Linked DNA regions of Rhinolophus ferrumequinum. The protein of the gene in region 1 interacts with the protein of each later gene in a pairwise test. Links are inferred from orthologs where the notes say so. Each region holds a gene or a part of one and is shown on either strand. Other genes may lie near its edges. The genes, in order: FAM168A and OTUB2.

Region 1 (7,797 bases):
TTCTACAGCACAGGTGACCACAGCTATGAAGGGAAAAAAAAAAATCCACAAAGACGTTTCTCCCAGGCAATTCCTTTTCATTTTGAGCTTTCCAAAACTAGGGCTTTAATATAAACATCCCACTTCTAGATAAAGCCTGCAGATCCACAAAGCAATGTCAGGACCCCAGAGTAAAGTTATGAGGAGAAACGCTTGCATTAATTAGATTACACTCTCATCGAATTAGAGGTAACGACTTAAACCTGATTTTCATTCTAATACAGAAAGCTTCCTCTCACTTCCAAGGATAAGTCCAACCTTCCACCATTCTGCCCGTTTTGGGGGGGAAAAAATTCTGAATATTGGGTATTTTTATTTGCGCAACTGTGAAAGCCAAGGAAAATGGTGTTTGTGAGCTAAACTCTAAAGCTTAAACAAAAAGAATTATTTTGATCCTGCTGGTGCCGATTTTATCCTCTTTACATTCCTCCCCATTTTTTCCTCAGAGTTCTAATCAATAGCCACTTCGTTTAAGGTATCATACTTAACGCAATTCAGTCCAGAAAACTGCTTCGTCCATGCACACCCCGCTACCTCCCCATTCGGCCATGAGAATAAGTATATCATTAAGCTTTAAATAAAATTTCTAATAAATGGAGATATTGTTTCTGTAGTTAATGTAATGTGTCCTCTAAATGTAATGTAAGGCCATCCTCTAAAAAATAAAACAAAAATGATTCTATATGCTTTATCCACATTTGACCGAATTCTGACCACCTGAATTCAATTTATAGAAATATAGTCCGATTCTTTTAAATCTCATCAAGTAATGTCAGAAGAGAATCAAATGAAAAACTCCACCAATACCAAAACCATCTTACCAATGAATATTTATGATATTTCCATATTTCCTGTCTTCCCTCTGTTTACTTAAAGCGGTGGTGCCAAGATTCATCTCAGGATTGTTAGCCTGCAATACAATGATGGGCCTAATTGCCTTGCAAACCAGGACACCAATAAATGGAGCCTTCAAGCAATCAATTTTTAGAGGAGAAAAAAAAAGGCCCAAGCTCTTTCTGCATACATGCACGCTGCCTGACTAGAAGATGAATTCAGCTTTATATTTTTCAGTCTCATTCATCAGTTCTCAAGCAAGGAACGCTCCCTTTGCTACCTCAAGCTCATCAAATCTATTGAATTCTAAATTCCAGGACTAATTTTTAAATGCACCAAGGGGAAGGCAGAAAAGACGCAGAGACATCATATAGAAAGACATCTATCACATTCCAGTTTCATCTTCTCCACCTTTAGTTTGGGAGTGGGCTTTTCTCTCCAAACTTTGTTTTTATATCAATACAAGCATACCTCCTTTTATTGTGCTTTGCTTTGTTGCGCTATACGAATGTTGCAGATTTATACGAATGTTGCAGTTTTTACAAATCGAAGGCAAGACCCTCCACCAGCAAGAAGCACACAACTCACGTGATGGTAACACTCACTTTATTGTGATGGTCTGGACCCAAACCTGCAGTACCTCCAAGGTGTGTCTGTAACAGAAGACATGCTCCCCTCCTTCATTCTACCTTAACTGAAGCCTCTCTCAACTTTCCCCTTTGGGTTGATTTACTTCCAAATATAATACTAATATACATGCAACAAAAAGATGAAACTAACAGCTTACCACGTCCTCTGGGAGTCTTTCATGTACCTTCTCTGTCCCCTGCAAAGTCCCTGTGATTACTGTCTTCCCCCGACCACAGCCTCCAAAGCTGTCCATTTAAGTCCAGCCCTTCACCTGCTTCTGCCTGTTGAAGGCCATCCAAATCCTTCCCCTGCGTCTTCCCAGCATTGCTCCTGCCCCCTCCACAGCCTCCCTGCCCGTCCACACCAACCCGATGTCTCCCACTCCGTAAAGAACCCCTCTGCACCTCCCCATTAGCAACCATCTCGCCAGTCCTACCAGTTCTTCTCAGACATTCCTTCTCCAAAACTCCCTCTGCCACCTTGACCAGGGGACATTTTCTTCAAGACACCATCCCCCAACATTGCTCACCACCTGCCACTCTTCTTTCAGTGAATCGAGCTCAGCGGTGACTTCTGTGCCCTCTGCCTTAACCCTGCACCCAGAGAGCCACCAATGCCCCTTCCAGTGGTTCTAAGATCACCCGAAATCCCATCCTACTGTGCACCCCCCTCCGCCTTCCGCCCAATTTCAATCCTTGTCCGCCCATTTTGGGCCTAATTTCTAATTTACCCCGCTCCTGCCAGGTCACCATTACACTCCCCTCATTGAAAGTCCCACTCCCACCAGCTCCCCAGGAACACCCCAAATTCTACCTCCTCTGCTCTTCTAACCCACGCGATTCCGTAAGTCTCCACAAATTCCACCACCCTGAGATGGCAAACGCCTACTTCAAGCTCAGGTCTCAACCCACGCCAAGCCCCCCACCCCCAGCTTCCACCACCTCTATTAGCCTGCCCTAGGTCCACCCCCAGTTCCAACCTCCTGAATTAACAATCCCCCCCCCCCGCGCCAGGGTCCTATCCAACCCTGCAATCCCACTCTCTATTGAAATGATCTCCTTACCCCGCACCCCAGCTCGGATCCCAAACTGTCAACTGCTCCAGGCCAACCCCAAATCCACCACCCTCATTCAATCCCCTCCCCCATTAAAAGCCATCCCACTCCAGTCTCATCATCCAGCTCGCCCCTAAACCATCCCAAATTCCACCCCAGCCCCCCGAACCCACGTTCCTGTCCCAGGTCCGGTTATTCCCCATTAAAAGTCCCCTTCTCCTGTGGCCCCCCAACCTGCTCGGGTCCCACCCTCACCCCACCCCCAGCCCGCGCCTGGACAAGTCTCCCCTCCCAGCCTGCCATTCCATCGCGACCTCAACCCCCTTCCCCCAACCCGCGCTCACGCAGCCTCCACTCTCATTCTCCCCGGTACCACCGGCCCAGGCTCAGGGCGAGCGGACCAGGGGGCGGTGGGGGGGGGGTCTGCTCACCGGAGAGCCGCTGCAGGCGAAAACGGCGACGGCGGTGGCTGAGGTGGCGATGCCCTTGTCTTCTCTAGAGGGTACAGAGGCGACGCTCTCGCTCCCTCGCCCGTGTCCAGTAAGGTGGCGGATGGCGCGCAGGGACCGGGATCCTCCTCCTCCTCAGCGACTCGGCTCTGAATCCTCTGCAGTAGCCGCCGAGAAGCCCGACGGATGGGGGGAGGGGACGTTCGGCTGCGGGCGAGGGAGGAGGAGGCGAAGGGAAGGGGCGGGGGACCTATAAGGACGGGGAAGGAGGAGCCGGCGCAGCGCCGCGACACGTCCCACAGCCTCAGCTTGCCGGGACCACAACTCCCGGCATGCCCCGCTCCGACCCGCGCGCGGCCTGCGGCTCCTGCCGCGCGCCCAGTGCGGTGGGGCGGTGCCCTCCCCGGTCATGGACAATGGAATAAAGTCAACCATCCGCGGGCGGTTTTGTAGACTCAAAGACCACATGTGAAGGAAGTTAGGTCACCCACGCGGCTCCATTATCCCCAGGTAGCGATGTTCTCAGCATCTCCAACCTCTTTACCCGGGCGCGCGCACACAATGCCCCCCCCACCGCTACCGACGCTCGCTGGACTACATTTCCCAGCATGCCCCCAAAGTCTCCTGCCCTCCTTCCGGGCCCTTCTCAGGCCCGGTACTACAATTCCCAGGGACTGTGGTCCCTGCAATATGCTGGGAGATGCAGTTCTCAGTTCTGCCTCCATGTTAAGAAAAAGAAGTGAAGCAAAGGGAAAAGGGAAGGAATTTGCCAACCCACCGAAGAGAGGCCTAAATGAGCTACATCACCTGTGAGACTGTACTTTCTTCGCCATCCCAGTTACGACAGTCTCACGCTAGAACTAAGGCAGCAGCTTCCTCCTGGTCGTCCTGCAAATCTGAAGACGATTTGGCAACTTGAATCCAACTGTAAAAAGGGCATAATTCTTGACCCAGCTCTATTACTTTTAAGAATTCACCTTAAAAAGATAATCCGACAATTTGGAAAAGATGAATACAAGGTTGTTACATGAGGTTCTTGACTATAGAAGGAAAACACGTAAATGTCCATCACCGGGCTAATTCAATTATGTATATAAACAATGCAGTACTGAACAGCCATTTAAAATAATGATATAGATCTATTTACTGACATGAAAAGCTATTCACATTTTATTCTCAAAGGAAAAATATTGATTACAGAATAGCATGTTTAGAATGGTCCAACTCAGGTGAAATTTGAGATAATATTCTATAATCATAGATTTCAGGAAAGAGCTTCCCCAAAATATTATCAGTGATTATCTTGGAGGAAAGGGTTTCAAGTAATTTTTATTTTCATAGTGGCTGAATTGTTTAAAGGGAGCACATAATTTTTAAGCTATAAGACTAATTCCAAAAACACAATTTCCAAATCCAACAACCTCTCCTTGCTGCCTAAAAGCTTTCTATGGCTTCCTGTTGCCCTCAGTGAAGCTCCAGGACTCTGCCTGTCTGGCTTTTCTTGTGAGCTCAACAGTTCCACTATTAAAATAGTAGTGGTCAATTAAAATTCATAAAAGACCATTAAGTTAGAAGGGAGTATTTTTTGGATTTTCATTGTCTCTTCTCAAAGTTTTCCTTCTTCTGGTCTTTCCACACCCATTTCCTCCTGATCTCCCACTCATCTTGAAACTCAAGACAAAGTCCTGCCTTCCCTAGAACATATTTCAGGCACACTTTTTTCCTTATATCTGAATTCCTATAGCAGTGGTTTCTAATCTGTGGGCCAGAGATCTCTGTCGGGAGGCGAAGAGAGGAGGAAGGATCACAGTTAGGGTAAAGATCTGCAAAGCTCTACTTAAAGCCTTGTCTATAGACTGAATAAATGTCTTACACTTAAATTTTTTTTTTCCTTTCTGTGTCCAGCTCTCCTAGAATACGAAATATGGTATCAGATCTCTGATTTAGCATAAATCCTGTATTCAATTACAGTATTTTATATTTCATGTGTCTTTATTACTCTGTTTTGTGCAAGAAACATCAGAACATTTGAGATCCACTAGCCAGCCCACTGGAGAGCTGCAGGCCTATGGGAGAAAGTACAGGTGGCCTAGATTAGAGTTTAACAATCCTGCAGCAAATCCTTCAGTTTCACCCCACCTAAATCTGGTTACATTTCTATCCATGGTATTCACTTTCTCCAAATACATCAGGCACTTTTTCAAATTGCGTATCTAGTTTTTTTTCATCCTATTCTTCCAGGCTTAAAAATCCCACCTCCACCCCCAAAAAAATATCCTATTCCTCTGCTCTCTTCTCTGAGAATAGTAAGAAAAATACCCATGACATGTTGGCTATGTCCCTTCCCCTCTTAGTTGCACTGGCCATCCCCTTTCTAAACCCTCTTCACTCCTCCTCCTCCTTTCCCCTGCTCTCCTACTGGCAGAAAGTGGGGGCTGGGTGATCAAAATTAGAGGGGTCTGATCTGTTCTGCAAGTAAAGGATTATTTATTTGAGTTAGAGGAATAGATAGGAGGAAATTTACTGAACTAGGAATCTGGGAATCAGATCCTAAATGAGACCTTGCCATGAACATGCTGGGTGACCTTTAGTAAATCCCTTAGCTTTTCTGAACCTCAGTGTTTACATCTGCAAATAGAAGGAATGATTCCTGCTCTGTCACCTCATAAGGTTTTTAGAAGAATCCAATAAAACAACATGTATGAAAGTGTTTTGAAGATTGTAAAGTGCCACTTAGAGTCCAAACCCTTGATCTAATTTGAGAATTACCTCTCCAAAACCCTGCCATGCCTTGGCATGTAAACTCTTTACTCAAAATTATATCATTATTAATGAATTTATTGAACTATTTAAGGAATTAACTCCATTAAGCCAATTTAATTCCTTGATAATTTTCTATATAGCACCGTTAAACAATTTCTAACTTTTCTAGATTTTTTTCTATATTGAATTTTCATCAAGATATAATGCTTTCCTCTATCAACTTTACAAGAAAGATTTGATTCATCAGTTATCTTTATCAATTTTTACTGATTATAGTTTCAGCTGTTACAAAATTTCTAGTCATTATTTCCACCAAGTCCACCTTTTCCTGGGAGCAATTTGAGCCATTGTCAGTTTTATTTTGTGTTGATTAGTTCTACCAAGTGGAATTTTCCCAGGGGTCAACTTTGCAATGTTCAATGTTACCAACAAAGATGGAGTCATTCAGTTTGCTTTTCCATCCATAATAAAATTTTACCACGTGTAGTTTTAGCCATTGTCAATTTTATTTTATGTTGATTATTCCTACCATATCCAATTTTTTTCAGCAACTCAACTAAAACAAACTTACAGGGGAAATGACAGTGTCAAAACTCTATCCTTTGCCCGTTATTATCTGATTAACGAGGACTGTGAGATGGTTTTGTCCCAGCTATGTTAATGAGTTGGCTTTGAACTCTCTCAAACCATCTCTTTAGGAACCTTGGCACACGTGCAGGCTGGAGTATTACTTTAAGAATTGCTGTAGAATTGCAGGAAATGGACATTAGAGACCATGTTAGGAGAACCAATCTTTAATGAGCCAGGTGCTGTGCTGGTGTATAAGATCCATTATCTCACTTAATCGTCAGCCTCAATGTCCCTCACATGACCGTTTTATAGTAGAGGAAAGAGAGAGGAAGGCCAAGTTAGCATCAGAAACCAGACCGTTTTAATTCTCAGTGCAATTTGAATGATTCTAAGTTTCCAAAGTTATCTAATTCAATTTTTAAACTTTTGCAATAATCGTGCTGAAAATTATAATTTTTGAGTTTAAGATATGAAACAAAAAATCCATGTATGTAAACAAAGCATCTCAAAGAGCTTTTTGTGTAGCAAATGAGAAAAGGAGTGTAAAAATGTTTTGTAAATGACCCAACCCTGGGCAAATGAAGGTTACTGTCATTTGTGATGAAGGCTGTTATATAAAACCTGTTAATGCACTTGACAGAGTGCTAGAAAACTAATCACACACTACTAATTTTCCATCGTTGGGTATCAAATACCCATCGATATATTTCATTCTAATAGCCAATATTAAAGGAATCAGATTGCATCCTGCCCATCCTTTAAGACCTAAGTCAGGCATCTGGAAGCCTCCCCTGACCCTCGCTTAGGTTAGGAGCCCACTTAACTCCCACAGCCTGCTCACGCTGTCATGTTCATTGTCTATTTACTGCCCTCAAGGACAAGGACCAAGGTAACGTGGTTCATCTCTGGGGCCAGAGCTCAGTTCAGCCCAGACCTTCTCACAGCGTGAGGCCTCAGGAAGTGGTGATTGAATTAATTCATTAACATGACAAGTAGATAAACTATATCGATAATCAATTAAAATGACAAGGAAAATACCTCAATAAAGCTGAAAAAATTATAATGACAACGGAAAAGCTCATATTAAATAAAGTGAAGAGCAAAATTAATCACAAAATCTGCACAAACTGATTACAGTCACCTAAGCTCCTATAGCAGCAGCAATATGAGGAAAGAGCCTTGATGTCCTGGGTTCAAATCCCACCGCAGCCAGGACTGGGTGTTCTGTCAAGTCAATGCCTCTCCAGCACCTGTTTCCTTATCCATAAAATGGCTGACCTTGAACTCCCAAGGCAGATAAAAGAATTAATTAAGGTACCAGATATTTTTCATTTTAAGGAGCTGACAGAAGTGAGGGTTGTTACTAAAAAAGGTCAGAAGAGAATTGGAAGGGAAGTTTATGTTTAAGAGGATCCTTTACATAAATTATGCTGCTTAAGTTCATAAGCTTAAAAAAAA
Region 2 (8,257 bases), on another chromosome or scaffold:
CTGGAGGCATTTGCGCCGGCCCTTCCTGCTGCCTGGAATGCCCCTCGGCCTCTTCACGTCGCAGGTGACGTCACCTCCTCGGAAAGCCTTCCCTGACCACTGTCTCAAGGTGTCCTTCCCTCGACCCTATTGCCTGGTTTTATTTCTTCAGGGCGTTCTGTAGGTTCACTCATTTACTTGCACACTGTCTGTGTCCGTGCCCCAGAATGTCACCGCTATAAGGGCAAGGACTTTGCCTGCCTGTCATGACCAGATCCCCAGTGACGACCACACACTAATGTTCCACAAATACATGTGAGTGATCACTGAGCAAATGGATGAGCCGGTCTCAGGCTCCAGCCTGGCCACTCCAGGCCCGTGTCCACTGCATCGCCAGAGAGACCGTCCAAGTCAATCACCTCTTGTCAAAAACATTGTACGGTTCTCCCCATCAGCAGACTAAACCCAAACCCACAGTGCAGCTGGCAAAGCCCTTTACAGCACCTTCTGACCCCACCGACTTTTCCAGACTCAACTCCCTTCCCTCCTGGGAGCTCCCTGTACCCACACAGACCACCTCTCCTGTCCCAGAGTATCCCATTCTGAACCATATTTCCAGGCCTTTAAGAGAGCTGGCCCCACCCTGCCTGGCATGTATTCCCCTACTCCTCCCTGAAGGATACATCCTTCAACACCCAGTTCCAAAGTCCTCCTCTATGAATCCTTCCTAACACCCCCCGTCCCAGAATGCAATGGTACCCGCTGTGCTCCCCAAACCCTTGGTCAGACCTCTATAGCCACGGTCAGTAGCTCAGGAATTGCTTATGGCCAGCTATGGCTTGACCAACAGGCATTTAGCTCCTAAGAAAGGGCTCCCCAGGTCTTTCTCATAAGTGTCCAGCGTGGGGCCTGACTAGAATACCTAACGGAGGCTGGTTGGACAAATAAAAACAAAGCACAGAAGGGCTCTGTGGTTATCTGTTCATGCCTGACACTCATCCATTCCCCCAACATTAAATGCACTTGGAGTGAACATGAAAACCTCACCACCTACAGCCCCTGCCACTGGCAGCCACAGGCCGGGACCTTGTCCTTCCCACAGGGTGCTGTGTCTTCTACCTGACTTTTCCTCACGCCTAGCCCAGTGACTGCAATGAGAAAGGAAAGAAGACTGTGTTTTCCAAGGACGTTTTCCTCTGCCCACAACACACACTCACCACCATCCACACCATGCAGCCCAGGGCCCATGTGGTGCCTGGCAAACAGCAGGTGCTCCATAAATGCTGGGGTGAATGAAAGAGAACAGACCCTGCAGAGCCTTTGCCTCCCAGGATTCCCAGGGTGACGTCCTACTTAGTGGATAAACCACTTCATCCCTCTCCAAGGCACCCAAGACTGCCGACGCCGGGTGAGGGCTTGGTGCTTTTGACCCCATCTGCCATCTAGCTTCTGGTCCCGTGAGTCCATGGCAGACTGGAGGGCAGGGTCAGAGGCCTCACTGTGCAGGACAAAGGCCAAAAGTTGAGGTCCCAGCCCCACTGCCCCTGTTTGCTCTCGGCTCTCCAGTGGTGACCAGAAGGCATGGCAGCTTCACGATTCAGGGTGGCTAAACCCATTATTACCCCATCTCCTGCCACTCCCTAGGGGGTGATGCAGAAACACCTGGGCCCCCTTCCAGGAGCAGCAGAGCCGGGTAAACCCTTGGGCACTGGGTAGAAGCAGGAAGCTGGTGCTTCCAGATGCCCCAGAGACCTCAGCCACACCCCAGCAGCAAGCTGGTTTGTACAGGACAGGCCTACTCAGGTGACCCAGCTGCCCCTCCCGCATTCAGAACGTATCTGGCTATGACCAAGCTTTGACCCAGGCCTCTGTCCTGCAGCATCCGGCAGTGGTGACCCATTTCCCTGCCCAGACATGGAGGGAGGAAGCAAAGCACAAACAACCGGGCAGCTGTGCACACCTATTCCCAGGACTCTGTCGTCACAGGAAAAGCTGCATCACCTCACGTGGTCCTCACAGCAGCCCATTGTACAGATGAGCAAAATAGTGCTCGGGAGAACAGACCAACCAAAGCCCGAAGGGGTGGTGTAGAGATTTGAACTCGGGCTGTGTGACCCCAAGCCACCATAAAGGCCATCAACCCTTACACTCTACAGGATGCCTAGAACAGGGGGCTCAGGGTTGAAAGGTTTCAGGCAGTCATCACAGCCAGTCCTCTCCAGATTGCCTGACCCCTCCTCCCCCAAACCCAGAAGGTGCACTGATGTAACACCAAGAGCACTGGACTGTGAGTCCAGAGGTTTGGGTTCAAGGTCCATGTTCATCACAATCAGTCCCAGCCTCGTTCCTGTTTTGGCCTCAGTTTCCCCACCTGCCCAATCCCCGCATTTGGCCTGGCTCAGAGGGTCTCTGGGGACCTGTCTGCTCAGACAGGACTGAATCAGGGGTTCCTCTGGTCTCTGCTTTGCCTGAACTCCTAATCCACGTGCCTCTCAACTTGAGGCAGCCTCTCCATGTAGGTGCTAACTCCAAACCTTGTGTTGATGTGCAGGACAGAGAATGTTCAGTGTTCCGGCCACGCGTGCACCTTTAAGTCCATTCATGGAGCTTGGGATGGGGGTCTCTGATAGCTGAGCCGTCGGATGGGTGAGGCCGTGAGCTGCGGACTGGGGGGCTATTTAACAAATTGTGGACGACCCTTAGCCCTGGAGCCTCCCTGTCCTGATTTCAGTCGAGAGCGCCTACCTTGAGCCATCACGGCGTCACCCTCGGGACACCTGGGATGAATGCGCTGGGGGCGGGAGGCCTGGGGGCCCGGCTGGGTCCCCTTGGCTGGGCATCCATGGTGGGTGGCGGGGCGCGTTCCAGGCCCTGCAGGGCCTTCCGAGGAAGAACGCGGGCCCCAGCATCCGTCCGGACTCAGTATTCCCGGGGTCCGGACGCCGCGGGTCCAGACCTGGAAGCTGAGCCTCGAGTTCGACCCCGGTCCCGCGAGTGCACAAGCGCCACGGCGGCGACCCCGCCTACCGCACCTCCCTCTCCCGCTCCCCTTTCCCCGCCTCCCCCCACGACCACTGACCATAGTGATCGGAGCTGTCGGGCCAGGTCCCGCCCCAGCGAGGAGCGATCCGGTGCGGGAGGGCGCCGCGGGAGCCACTGGCTGGTTGCGCCGTTGGGTCGGGCGGCGGGGGCCTCGAGGGCGTGGGGGCGAGCGGAGAATACACCCGACCGCTCCGCAAACCAGAGGCGAGACCTCCACTGTGTTCCAGCAAGACACACACACCGCGATTGACGTCTGAGACGGGCAATCAGAAGCCGGGATGCAGGACGTCACAGAAAGTGGGTGGGACTTCACACACCTTCAGCCTATGCTTTAGGGTTTATTTGATAGGGTACCGCCCCCTTTTAAAGACATAGAAAGCTTTTAACTCGCGAAGTAGTTAGCCCAACCCAGAAAGAGAGGTCTTCATTTGTAAAGGCTGAAGGACTTTTGACCAAAACTGCAAATTGAGGTCTTATTAAAGATTAGCTGGCCCACATTAATTCATAAACAAGGTCTTATAAGTATAATTTGCTCAAGATCAGAGGACAGGCACTTACGGAACACGTGTCCAATAACAATAACTGCCTGGCCTTGTGTAGCTTCTAAGTAATATTTTACCCTCTTTCAACTCATGAATCAGTAGGTTGCCAGGCATCCAATTAATGTTTGTTGAATGAATGAATTTCCAGGATTGTTGATTCTGGGCCTCTGGAATTGTATGGCTACGTATGGAGACACAGACCATGACCCAGGTTTGGTGACTCACCTAGCATACAAGCTTGTTATTACTAAACATCAAACAGAGGAATATGTATCACTCAAAGATTCGTTCACCAGCCCTTGATCCCTGGAGGAGGGACACTGGTGGGGACGAAAGGTTTGTGGGGCAGGGGGCTGCAGTGCGTTGCATGCACCCATTTTACAAGTAGTAATACTTCCACGAGCGGGTATTCAGCAATTCCCACCCCACTCACTCCCCTGCCCCAGGCACAAGGCTAGGTTCTTGGGCAGACAGACACCTGTGTCTTCCAAATGAGCTTTTTTATTAGGTGGGGAGTGTGGGGTCAATCCAGGCTCAAGAGCAATAACAATAATAGCTGGTTTTTATTGAGCACCTACTGTGTATCAGGCACTGTCCTAAACTCTCAACCTATATTACCTTTCTTAGTTTTCTCAAAACTAGTTTATGGGGGTAGTTCCTATTATCCCTATTTTACAGATGAGGAAACTGAGGCACAGGGAAGTTAAGGAACTTGGCCAAATTCACACAGCACTCAGCGGGAGTCAATCCCAGGCAGCCTGACTCCAGAGCTGATTTTGAATTCATTCTGCTGAGGAACCACGTACGCAACTGTGGAGGGTGAGGTGGAGGGTGCATGTACTCCCCTTGCCCCTATTTTCTTTGGGGGAGTTTCCGCTCTTTGTTTTTTACAGCCAAGGAAGCCAGAGAGGTGACAGGAGCAGCTCTCAGTGCTGCTCAGCTAGGACAGAACCCAGCAGGGCTGGATCCCTGGACTTCTGACTCCTCATTCAGTGCTCATTCCAGGCTGTGTTAGTCTGCACTTGGTGGAAGAATGACTGAGTCAGGTGCGGCCCCATGGGGTGCAGGCAAGGGATCTGCCAGGGAGAGGAGAGGAGGTCCTGGGGGACATTGTGTGGGGTGTGGTCTCAGGTTGAGCCCTGGTCAAGCCCACATATGAGGCATTTGGGGTCCCCAGGAGGAGGACCCTGAGTGAGCTGAGACTTCTAGGAGCGCTCGTTCTGGACACAGCAGCTCCAAACCAAGCAAGCGTTGCCCTGTGGACGCAGTGCTGGGCTGGATTTGCAGCAACTCTGGGCCCCAGGCTGGCTAGACTCTGCCACTCACTGCTGTGTGGCCTCAAGTGACTACTAGACCCTCTCTGGGCCTCTGATTCCTCACTCAGTGAGAGGGTTGAACAATCTGGGAAATTAAAAAAGAAGATATTTGAAAATTATTTTTAGTAGTGAAGCTTTTAAACAAAACACAGTCTTAGCCAGAATCTCAGTATATGTGTAATGGAATCTTTCCTCAACTGTAGTTCGAATAAGCTGGGAAAAGTGTTATCTCTTTAGTCTGTAATTAATCAGGCTTCTTCCTGAGCTCTCTAAAGCCTGGTTAGAAGAGAAAAAAAGGTTTACAAAGAGTCCAGCCAGTTGTCAAGCTGGGTCTGAATTGAAAAAGTGAGCAGATCTTTTAGGGGCCTCCCTGTGACTGGGGGTTAACATGTTCTGTCCAAAATAAATGGACTCTCCTTTCCCTGTACCCCTTCTACCTGGTGTCCAGGTGTCTGGGTGGAGCGGTCGGGGCTGGCTGCTATGGCCTCATAGATTCAGAGAAGACGGTTTTATCCTCTAACAAAGGACTCACAGCAAAAGGACACCCCCAGCACCTGGGGCTGGGCCTGTGGCCCATGTGACTCATGGGCTGACTTTTCTGAGAAGGTGACCCCACCTCATTCTCTACAATGTGGCCCCAGTTTACCTTTCTCATCCCCTATCTTCCTCTCTTCCCCCCATGGCCAGGACAGAAGCTTCAGAGGATGGATTCAAGTGCCAGAACCTTCCGCATACTTTCCCACCTCTGAGCCCTTGCTCGTCCTGGAACACCCATTTCACAGGCTCCACTTGTCAGATCCCACCCATCTTTCAAATTCTGGCTCCTCCTCCATGAAGCCTTCCCAGATTGCCAAGCTGGTGATGAATTCTTCTGAATCTCCACCATACCATATCTGTTCTTCTCTGGCCCTGATCCCTTCTGGCTGTGATTTGGAGGGAGCAGTAGGACAGGGTAATTACAAGTATGGGTAATGGCATCAGGTATATTCATGTCATGATTCCCATGGCATAGCCCCTTGAGCAAAACAGACCTCTCTGAGCCTCAGTTTCCTCGACTGTAAAATGGGGGTATTCATACCTATCTCAGAGGGCAATGGGGAAGACTAAATGAGATGACCATGAAGAGCACTTGACACTGTACTTGGTATCCAGTAAGTGCCCAATATATGTGGGCTTTGCAGGGTGGTTATCGGGGCCTGACTCTTGTGCATCCTTGTGTGAATAAGCCTAAAGGGGACAGGTAGGGGTTTGCACGTGACAGGAGGAGCCCCAAGGAGGTTTGCGTCTGCATACCAGGATGGATGTCATCTGCTTCCTTCCTGGATCAATAAACTGAGCTTCTGATGGAGGGATGTCAGGCAGCCGCACCCATGTTGGCAGAAGCTCCTTTAGTGCAGGCCCATGTTCCTGGTGCTCTTTACATTGTGCTCTTTTGTGCGCTTGACTTTCCCTGCCTGGCGAGCTGCAGGCAGGGTGCTCTGCAGGAGGACCAGACCCCAGGTTGCAAACGGCTTGACCTCCTTTTCCTCTGTACAGCACGTCCACACTGCACCCTCCCCATCCATACACACACACACACACACACACACACACACACACACACACACACACACGTCAGAGTCTGCAACCTTGACCTGCAAAACTCATTAAGATACAAGTTCATGTGTTGTTTCACTGCTGGGGAAGGTCAGAAAGAATCAGAGCTAGAGTGAGCCCCTTTTACCTCCCCCAGCCCCACTCCAGGGAGCACAGCAGCAGTGGGCCAGCCCTGGAGGCTGTGGGCTGCCCTGGCTCCCACCCCCAGGGGCAAGGTTGAGAAAGACGATTTTCTTTTTGAGGAGAAAATCTTTCCAGGATGAACATTGGGACTCGGGGGAGTGGAGGACGGGGAGATGGGTATGCCTAAATAGGGAGCACTTTCTGGAATTGGGGCAAGGGGGAATGCAGGCGTCCCAGAACAGGGGTAACTCCCAGAGCCCCTCCTCACTCGCAGGTCACCTGTTGGACCCTGAGAAAAAGGGCCTGTACTGGCCGAGGGAACTCAGCCCCCTGGCCTGACTGGCGGTGACTCTTTTGTCCCTCCTTTCAAGCCCTCTTGTATGTTTGGGTGAATGGTGTAGCGAGCGACATGCCAAAATTCAATTCATTCAACTCTCAACAAAGGTTTGCTGCACCTCTGCTGCGTGACGGGCACTGACTATGCACATTAGTGACAAAACGGACAAAAACCGTGGCCCTCACTCACCTTCCAAGCTAGTGAGGAAGTCACCTCCAGTCCCCTGCCCTGATCAGCTGCCCAGGATCACAAACCCCAGCAGGGTGAGGGGAGGACGGGAAGGGAGAGCCCAGATGATTGAGATTTAATTTTGCACCCGCCCAGAGAGATGCGACACACACTGAGAGTTCATGTGAGTGGGAAACAGCAAAAAGAAGGTCATATTTCTTGTACCCTCCGAGAGGGTCCCTGGGGAGCCAGTGGCGTGTCAGGCTGTTTGGGCTTTTCAAATGTGAGACAAAAAATCTGGAAGAGAAATCATTTGACAAAGCTCAGTTATACCATGTCGCTGCTCGCTTTTCAGTGTAAACACGACCCACCGCCCCAGAAGGGTAATAGATGGGTACATTTCCCAGCCAACTGCCCATTTGTGGGGCCCCCCAGTCCTGGGCTTGAGAGCTAACATTTCTCAGTTCAGATAGCAAATGCTTGTACCCACGCAGGCTCCTGGGCTGGGCAGGGAACACTCTTCCTGCCACAAAAGGAGAAAACACTGGGTGCGGTTTACAGAAAGCAGAGGATGGTTGGGGGTGTGGAGGGAGGCAGTCCTATGCTTGGAGAGAGATGCCTGTTCCACCCTGGCCTCGTCTCCCTGAGGTGAGGCAGGGAGCCCACCCCCTGAAGGAGGCGGGAAGGTGTCCCGCTACAGACCTGGGGCAGGTTACATGATCTCTGTGACACACAGCTTCTCTTGGCCCCCAGCGATCCCACTGCCTGTGTTCACAGGAATAATCCCCTTCCCTTGAGTGTGAGCTGGAACTAGTGACTTATTTGTGACAGAGTACACCAAAGTGATGGCATGTCAGTTTTGAGATTAGGTTACTCAAAGACCGCGGCTTCTGTCTTGCTTCTGTCTCCCTTCTCTCTCACTTGGCACATTGCACACTGTCCTATGGAGAGGTCCACAGGGCAAGGAATTGAGGGTGGTGCTCAGCCAACAAGCCAGTGAGGAGCTTCATCTGCCAACAGCTACGTGGATGAGCTGGGCAGCTGATTCTCCACCAGTCGAGCCTTCAGATGAAACCACAGCCCTGGCCGATGGCTGGATTGAAGCCAGAGGACCCGGCTAAGCCACGCCCAGATTGCTAACCCACAGGAATGAT

What was found.
Region 2: the proteins of FAM168A (region 1) and OTUB2 interact in binary tests that used the Homo sapiens proteins (3 or more experiments, as listed by UniProt). The two-hybrid records come from large-scale screens. The link is inferred for Rhinolophus ferrumequinum from reciprocal best matches to the Homo sapiens genes FAM168A and OTUB2.

The regions. Positions count from the first base shown.
Region 1 is NC_046294.1:48,815,547-48,823,343, forward strand, and holds the start of FAM168A (protein FAM168A), read right to left. Parts: upstream 3,231-7,797; 5' UTR 2,989-3,230; intron 1-2,988.
Region 2 is NC_046289.1:9,052,176-9,060,432, forward strand, and holds the start of OTUB2 (ubiquitin thioesterase OTUB2), read right to left. Parts: upstream 3,247-8,257; 5' UTR 3,062-3,246; coding exon 3,059-3,061; intron 1-3,058. UniProt on the Homo sapiens protein: Hydrolase that can remove conjugated ubiquitin from proteins in vitro and may therefore play an important regulatory role at the level of protein turnover by preventing degradation.